Arabidopsis thaliana: one gene and its partner. The protein of the gene in region 2 purifies or fractionates together with the protein of the main gene of each other region. This does not show direct contact. Each region holds a gene or a part of one and is shown on either strand. Other genes may lie near its edges.

Region 1 (3,754 bases), on a different chromosome or scaffold from region 2:
TAACACCCATAGGAAGAAGACAATTCTGCGCTTGTGCAAACTTCTTCACCTGAAATAACATAGTCCGTATTATAGTACGTATTAAAATAACAGAGCCAAGTAAGACTCCAGATAAGAGAGAATCAGTACCGCTGGGTTGACTGACCCTTCCCATGCCATTGGATTGGTAGTCATGGACTCCAAACCAGCCCCGATACCTGCATCCATCATATCGTCAGCTCGGTTCTCTATGAAAAAATGTGGCGTAGTTAAAGACGGTTATTCACTAACCAATGTCATAAAATCCCGCTTTAATGGCAGCGGCTACATCAGCAACAGCCTGAAGCCCAGATGAGCACTGTCTATTCACAGTTCTGACAGCCACGGTTTCTGCAAATGAACATAACAGGATGAGCATACAGGAAATAAAAACAAAGACTTTTCACCATTGTATTGTACTGTACATAGAAGAAACATACCAGGGAAACCAGCATAGAACGCAGCCATCCTGCATTCACTGGCTCTCTGAGATCCAGGTGCCAAAACAGTACCCACAACAATGTCACCTACTTCACTTGGGTTTAGATTCGTCTTCTCTATCAATGCCTATGTCAAGGAAGAACTATCTATAAATAGACGTAGAAAGGAAATAAAAACCAACAACAGAATAGAAAAGATAGCGACAGACCCTCAAAACAGGTGCGAGCAAATCATCGGGATATGTATCCTTGAAATTGCCACGTTTGGACTTGCATAGTGGAGTCCTATGTGCCCTGCAATGGATCAATAAGTGTAAGTCTATCAGAAAGAGACGAGAAATCTTCATACGTTGCTGAAAAACCAAATACCAAAAGAGTAAAAGCATAAGAGATGGGACTTACGCGACAATGACAACATCATCTCCATAGAGAGAGGTCCTCTGATATGCAGCACTGTCCCCAGCCAAGCAAGCAGAAGCCTGGGAATTTGGAAAGAACACGTTAAAGAGATCACACGTAGTAATTGAAATCAAGCTTTGACTTTTAAGAAATCATCAGTACATGCAGAGCACGGATAATTCAACCCAATCGAACAAAAATCAAACAACAACAAAAAAAAAAAAGATATCTATCTCAATCCAGTGAACGAAATACAAAAACAAAATCCAAGTCTTGAATTTGATCTCAATCGAGCTGAAACTTAAAATTTTCAGCTCACAGGCACGCCTCGAATCAAATTATAATTCAGCATCAAAATCAAAATCGAAAATTCCATATAATGAATCCAGATCAACAACGATCCATAATCCCCAGACTGCAAACACAAGAGAAGACAACCAAAAGATCGCGATAGATCGAGAGAGAGAGAGTGTGTGGTGATAGAATGCTTACAGATAGAGAAGCCTCGTAATTGTGCGAAGAAGAAGAAGAAGGTCGGAGATGCTCAAGAAGAACGCGTTGTCTCTCGATCGCTTTCTCCATTTTTTCCGGCTGATTAAAGATAAAATTCGGATCTGTTGTTTTTTCTCAGAGAAGGATTTGTTCTACACGAAAACTCACAGTCCTCGGGTTTGTGATCATTTATAAGGTAAGATGACTCACCGCTTTGCCCGTTCCGGGTAAATGATAATCCCAAAATAAGTAAGAATAAAAAATATCTCTTTTTCGTAATATTTCTTTGCTTAAACGACCAAAAAATATCATCTGTGACAGCGATACAAGTTCTTATCCTATAGTTGTAAAATCCAAATCAAACAGTTTTTAGCCTAATGACCTTACTCTAATTATGAATTAAAATGTTCACACTGGTTTGGTGATTGTTAATAGTGTGAAATAATTGATGATGAGAGTCATAGTCATAGATAAGCTGAGAGTGTGATAGAAGAAGATAAGATTAGGCGTGACGTTTGCCCCCGCCCGTTTTGGGCTTTGAAATGCGTGCCGTGTTTTTCATTTCCATCTTCTGGATCTTAATCTTCTTCATATTTACATAATAACCCCAACTATTTGTATTACTTCTATTTACGCCTTAAAGTTGCTATTAATTCTAAAAGTACCCTTCTTGAGACTTGATCGCTATTTTCTTTTTACGTTTTACCAACGTAAAGTTAAAGCCCATATGGTGTGATAGTTTGCAATACTATGGGCTCGGCCGGTTTAAACGAAATAAGAACGGATATTGTATAATAGTGAAAACTACATTTTCAATTAATAATGTTATTATGCGATTGACAAGCAGATGCAATAGTGTTTGAATAAAATTTTTATCAATATGAACTTTACTTAGGCATATATATTACCAATAATGACAATATGGCACTGCAACAATGCACATCTGCGTAAGGTTAGCATGTCAAGATCTCTTACACGCCGTGATACCAAATTTATATCGACTTGCAAATATGGGAGATTAAAGCTCTCTTTACTCAATTTTACTCAATCTTACAAACATTTGTGTGGTACTTTCCGGAAGTTTTCCGACATGTAATATTGAAATTAGATCGTGTAGAGAGTTATCAAATAACAAAAAAACTCGAGAAACTTTGTAGTTTTGTTATGTATCAGACTAGAAATTAACTCTAACTGAATGGAGAGATTAACATTGAAGAGGAAGAAACAAAACTGTACGTGATCAGCTTTACATTGTGCTTGTCTATCTTTACATTGTGATTATTGTAATATCGCCCTAATATTTTCGCATATAGTTGTCCATTTAACCTATTAGAGTGAAACATCTATATATTAATACTTGTCAATTTAATAATCATTGTAAATTAATAAACTTTTCCGGTTCAAAGTTGGACGAATATAATATATAACGTAATTGGATAAAAATGTTATTTGTTTTTCTTTGAATTTGTTTTAATTTTTGTGAAAAAGTCATTTTCAATATTTTTACTACATCTAAAAATTAACACTTATATAAATCAATAAAATATTTTATTCCCCATGTTATTAATTTATAATTTTATTTTACTGTATTAGCTCTTACATGCAACATCATAGACTTCAGTTTTATTTCTAACAAGATTATTTAATCTTAAACATCTATCCAATGTCTAATTTTTGTGAAACAATATAATATCTTATCAACTTTAGTTTTCAATCTTATCTTTTTATCTAATATACTTTGAGTTGGCAAACAAATCCTATGCAAAGAAGAGACGAAATTATTGAAAATGTTAATTTTCTTACTTAACCATACTAAATATCTTTATTCTATCATTTACTATATTCGTTATATTAACATATCTATGTTTTTTGTAAAGACAAAATGTTAACCAATAAATTTTACATTTTTAATAATTTTGTTTCTTCTCTGTATATATATTTTTTCCTGACTCAAAATTAAATGAGATAAAAAGATAATTGAATCTCTTATATATGATTTTAGGGTAAACATTCCCATATCTTATTCTTTTATATTATCTTTTTTTAATAACAAATACACATGTAAACTGTAAAGTATACATTTCTTATCTATATGAATGAAGTATAAATTTATTTAACACATACAAATTTAATAAATCATAAAAAATACCACGTGGAACTGTAATGTATAATGTAATGTGACACAATATACAGTCAAAACATTCCAACTTATACAGATTTATATAGATTCAAGCGGATATGCAAAAAGAAGTAGAAAAAGAATGAATCCTACATTTATTTCATAATTTATTAGTAGTATATATGTACATAAAATCATCTTATTCCATCTTAAAAGGATCCTTTCATAATATTATTCCTAAGTATTTTCCATATGGGTGATAGTAAAGATTGCGTTTCCCATATTT
Region 2 (3,754 bases):
AAAGCTTTCATGCAACTAGTTAAATCCTTGTAAAGAAAAAGAAAAAGCCAGAGGTTTAGTGGCACATAAGTCCAAATTATATGACTGCATAAAGACTCACAGACCTTAGCAGTTCCTCGCTGAGAAAAGAAGACGTGGATCAAGCCTTTGGTGGTATCCAGTTTTACCACTTGTGAGGCGACTTCAGCTTCCTGTAAGTAACAATGTGGTGGAAATTCATATTGATCATTAGTCGGGGAGAAAAGGTTAAAGAACTGACATACTATGAAGCGAAGAAAGATAGGTATCATACCTTTTCTAAACCAGCCCTTGGACCAGAAACAATACCTACTTCAATAGCGTCAAGGCACATTAAAGGGTGTTTCATATTGGGGGCACGCTTGAGTGTCTGTGCCTTGGCAAACGTCAGTATCTCCCTTGCCTCTCCAAGAGGAGGTAACTTATCAGTCTTGGAAACACTAGATACCCATGGTTTTCTCCTCCCGACTATGTCAAGGGCCCAGCGACGAGCAGTGGTTACTAACTCCGCAGGTGGCACCACAGCATCAATAAGACCCAAAGAATGACCTTCCTCAGCTTTAACTGGCTTAGATGTCTATATGTTTCAACAAAAGAGATGCTATTACACTTTAACCAAGGCACGCTAATGCTACCATAAGAATAAGGCACTGACATACCAAAATCATTTCAAGGGCTTTGGTGAGACCAACAAGACGCGGGAGACGCTGCGTTCCTACATCAATCCAAAGGAGTATAATTAGCATTATAAACGAAAGTGACTTGACTCATTCAACAAAAAAAATGAAACGAAGATCCTCTTCCCATCCTCAGCTCAGTATTATGCATTGAGAATGCCTTGACTTCTCCACGAGTTTTAAACCATATATTGATCAGAGAATTCAAGGACTTCACAGTCAGCGAAGTTGAATAGATACCTCCAAAACCAGGAATAACACCAAGTTGCAGCTCAGGCAAGCCTAACTGTGCAGCAGGAGCTGATATCCTAGCATGACAAGCCTGGAAACAAACCATACAACTGTATCACCATCCTTCCTCCTCAAAAGGATTTCTCGTGAAGGTAATAAATAACATAGAAACTCATACCATAGCAAGTTCTAATCCTCCTCCCAAGGCAAGTCCATCAATGGCAGCGACAGACGGTTTCCTAGCAGCTAAATCCAAGGAAAGAAATCAAATCCCTCAGCAACACAACTTACACAAGTATTCCATAAATCAAATAAAGTGGGTTTAAGTAGAAAGATCACCTTCAAGCAAGTCGGTTATGATGTCAATCGAAATGTAACCAGCCTTTGGCTCTTTGACTGAGAAAATTCATAACACCAGTATACGTTACTAACTAGATCAACACATACCACACTGATTCAATAACCAAAGATACAAAAGAGACAGAAACATACCATTCCCCTTCTGCATTTCACCAAAACCAGATATATCAAAGCCACCAGAGAACCTCCCCTTTGCACCTGTAGTTAAATAAAAAGGAACACAAAAGCCATTACCAGATCATCTCCAAAGTTTTCATAAAAAATGTTGTGTTTTTAGCGAGGAAGAGAATGATCTCCAGAAATACCAGTAATAACAATAGCTTTAACATCATTCCTGCTCAAGGCCTCCTCGTAATTACTTTTGAGATTGTATAGCACTGTACACAAATATCCAAAAACAGAGTCACATACAAAGAAAATTCACATAAACAGATCATAAATTCGATCGGAAGCTCAATTACAATCGGCGATATTTACAAAACCAAATCACGAAGCGAAATTGACCTAAATCTGAAGAGGTAAAATCCAGTAAATTCCGGATCATAAAAATAAAATGAATCTGAGAGTACGTACCGTCGAAGGATAGAGAATTGACGGGAGGATTGATGAGTGTTATGACGGCAACGCCATCGCCACCAACTTCCATCACCGTCTTCCCCTTGGTTCGTGAATCCATTTTCGAGCTTCGTTGAGATTTTGCGAGTCAAAATTTTCGGAATTAATGAAAAAGAGAGGAGACGTGAGAAATCAGATGATTATATAATTGCAAAAGATGATGACGTCAGTGATAATATGGTAGAGTGGCACACTCCTCAAAGCAACGGTACTTTGATAATGTTTTCGATATGTGAATTTTTATTTGTTATTCGTATCCAATTTATGTATAAGTTGAATTAATCACGAATTAGGAACAAAATATTTGCATTTAAACTCTGCGGATTTATTACTAATAAATATGTTTGGCTGGTCATAGTCCTGCGACTACCAAACTTGGCGGATCTTATCTTGATACTACGGATTTGTAACTAAGCGACCCTATATAGGATTTTACAGTTGTAAATAAACTTTACTAGAAAGAGTATCTCTTTTTTTTTTTAACATTATTAGTTTTTTTTTTTTGCGATTTATTTATGACATATAATCGATCATGCTGAATATTATATCTTGTAATATATGTTAATTCTACCATGACATCCGTTTTTTGTTTAATCAGATTAAAAAACAAATGTAAATGCAATCAATAGTTTTAGACAAGTATTCAAACCATAACTTGTTTTTTATTCTCTCTATTTATGGTCCGGTGAAATATCTTTTCACATGACTAAGTATCAACTTTCATACAGTTAACCATAACAGTAATAAAACGTCTAAAACTTAAGACTTCACTAACAATGATGGATTTGCTTAAAACTTAAAGGACGTAAACGAATATCTTCCAAGATCAAAGACGGTTGGCAAAACTCAAAAGACAAAAGACGTAAGTTAGATGTAATTTTGGGTTGGTAGGTAGCTCACTTTCCAAAGATAATGTTAGGCGTTTAGTGATGAAATAGATTGTATTTTGGAAGTAGCCTCACATTCACATCTCTAACTTGTTTGTTCATTTTTAATTGTTCAAACTTCAAAGTGTAACAAAGAATAATCAAGTGCAATCTTATGTTGGTTAAGGTTATCTTTCTTGCTTTAATGAATTCTGTCTATGAGAAAAGTGTGTCCACTTTGTAAGTCTGGCCTTTTGGCATTTTTCTTTTCGGCTTTAGTGGATCTGCTTGTAAAAGGCTTTTTTTGAAGTCGATATATATAGCCCACCATCTGAAGGAAAAAAAAAAAGTGATGTACATGAGGATACGCGTGTACCGTTGATCCTCTCCGTGATATTGCTGATGTGGCATAGATAAGCCAATCCGATAGTTTTTTTTCTCTTTTTCTTTTGGTACTAATCCAAATAGTTATTAATACTAATCAGTACCTTAGTCTTAATCCGGATACTCGAACAGAAACAAACACACGGGTACGTAACATTTATCTTTTTAAGCTCTCTTCTTAGAAACATCTTCCATCAACTCAATCTGTTTGTCTATTTCTTCTCCCTTGTACTGTTTTTTGTTTTTTACCAAAGACCAACCGTTCATAACAATGATCGCGCGACGGATCTGGCGAAGCCACCGGTTTCTCCGCCCATTCAGCTCGTCATCTGTTTGCTCTCCGCCGTTCCGGGTACCGGAGTATCTTTCTCAGTCGTCTTCCTCTCCGGCGTCGCGCCCATTCTTTGTTCACCCTCCCACTGTATGTTTCTTCTCACCAAATTTCCTTCCTTTTTCAGTTTTTTTTTTCAAATTAATTTTGAGGCATGACATTAGCTTCCGAGAAGCTCTTCTAGGCGGAAAAAGAAACATCGAAACTGTATAAATTTAGAAAGAAAATAAATTTATCAGAGAGACTTAAACTTGGAAAACTCTGTTTGCTTA

What was found. The genes of interacting proteins can lie anywhere in the genome.
Region 1: the proteins of MFP2 (region 2) and PKT3 fractionate together in Arabidopsis thaliana (co-fractionation; one large-scale study listed by BioGRID). This does not show direct contact.

Annotation. Positions count from the first base shown.
Region 1 is NC_003071.7:14,049,545-14,053,298, forward strand, and holds the start of PKT3 (peroxisomal 3-ketoacyl-CoA thiolase 3), read right to left. Parts: upstream 1,857-3,754; 5' UTR 1,440-1,856; coding exon 1,350-1,439; intron 938-1,349; coding exon 861-937; intron 753-860; coding exon 668-752; intron 586-667; coding exon 459-585; intron 370-458; coding exon 271-369; intron 198-270; coding exon 130-197; intron 50-129; coding exon 1-49. UniProt on the Arabidopsis thaliana protein: Involved in long chain fatty-acid beta-oxidation prior to gluconeogenesis during germination and subsequent seedling growth. Confers sensitivity to 2,4-dichlorophenoxybutiric acid (2,4-DB).
Region 2 is NC_003074.8:2,160,134-2,163,887, reverse strand, and holds the start of MFP2 (multifunctional protein 2), read right to left. Parts: upstream 2,154-3,754; 5' UTR 1,963-2,153; coding exon 1,860-1,962; intron 1,664-1,859; coding exon 1,592-1,663; intron 1,485-1,591; coding exon 1,419-1,484; intron 1,323-1,418; coding exon 1,266-1,322; intron 1,173-1,265; coding exon 1,105-1,172; intron 1,018-1,104; coding exon 936-1,017; intron 734-935; coding exon 678-733; intron 596-677; coding exon 293-595; intron 192-292; coding exon 105-191; intron 1-104. Other genes in the region: BCE2 (2-oxoacid dehydrogenases acyltransferase family protein), read left to right, coding at 3,423-3,572. UniProt on the Arabidopsis thaliana protein: Involved in peroxisomal fatty acid beta-oxidation during seed germination. Possesses enoyl-CoA hydratase activity against long chain substrates (C14-C18) and 3-hydroxyacyl-CoA dehydrogenase activity against chains of variable sizes (C6-C18).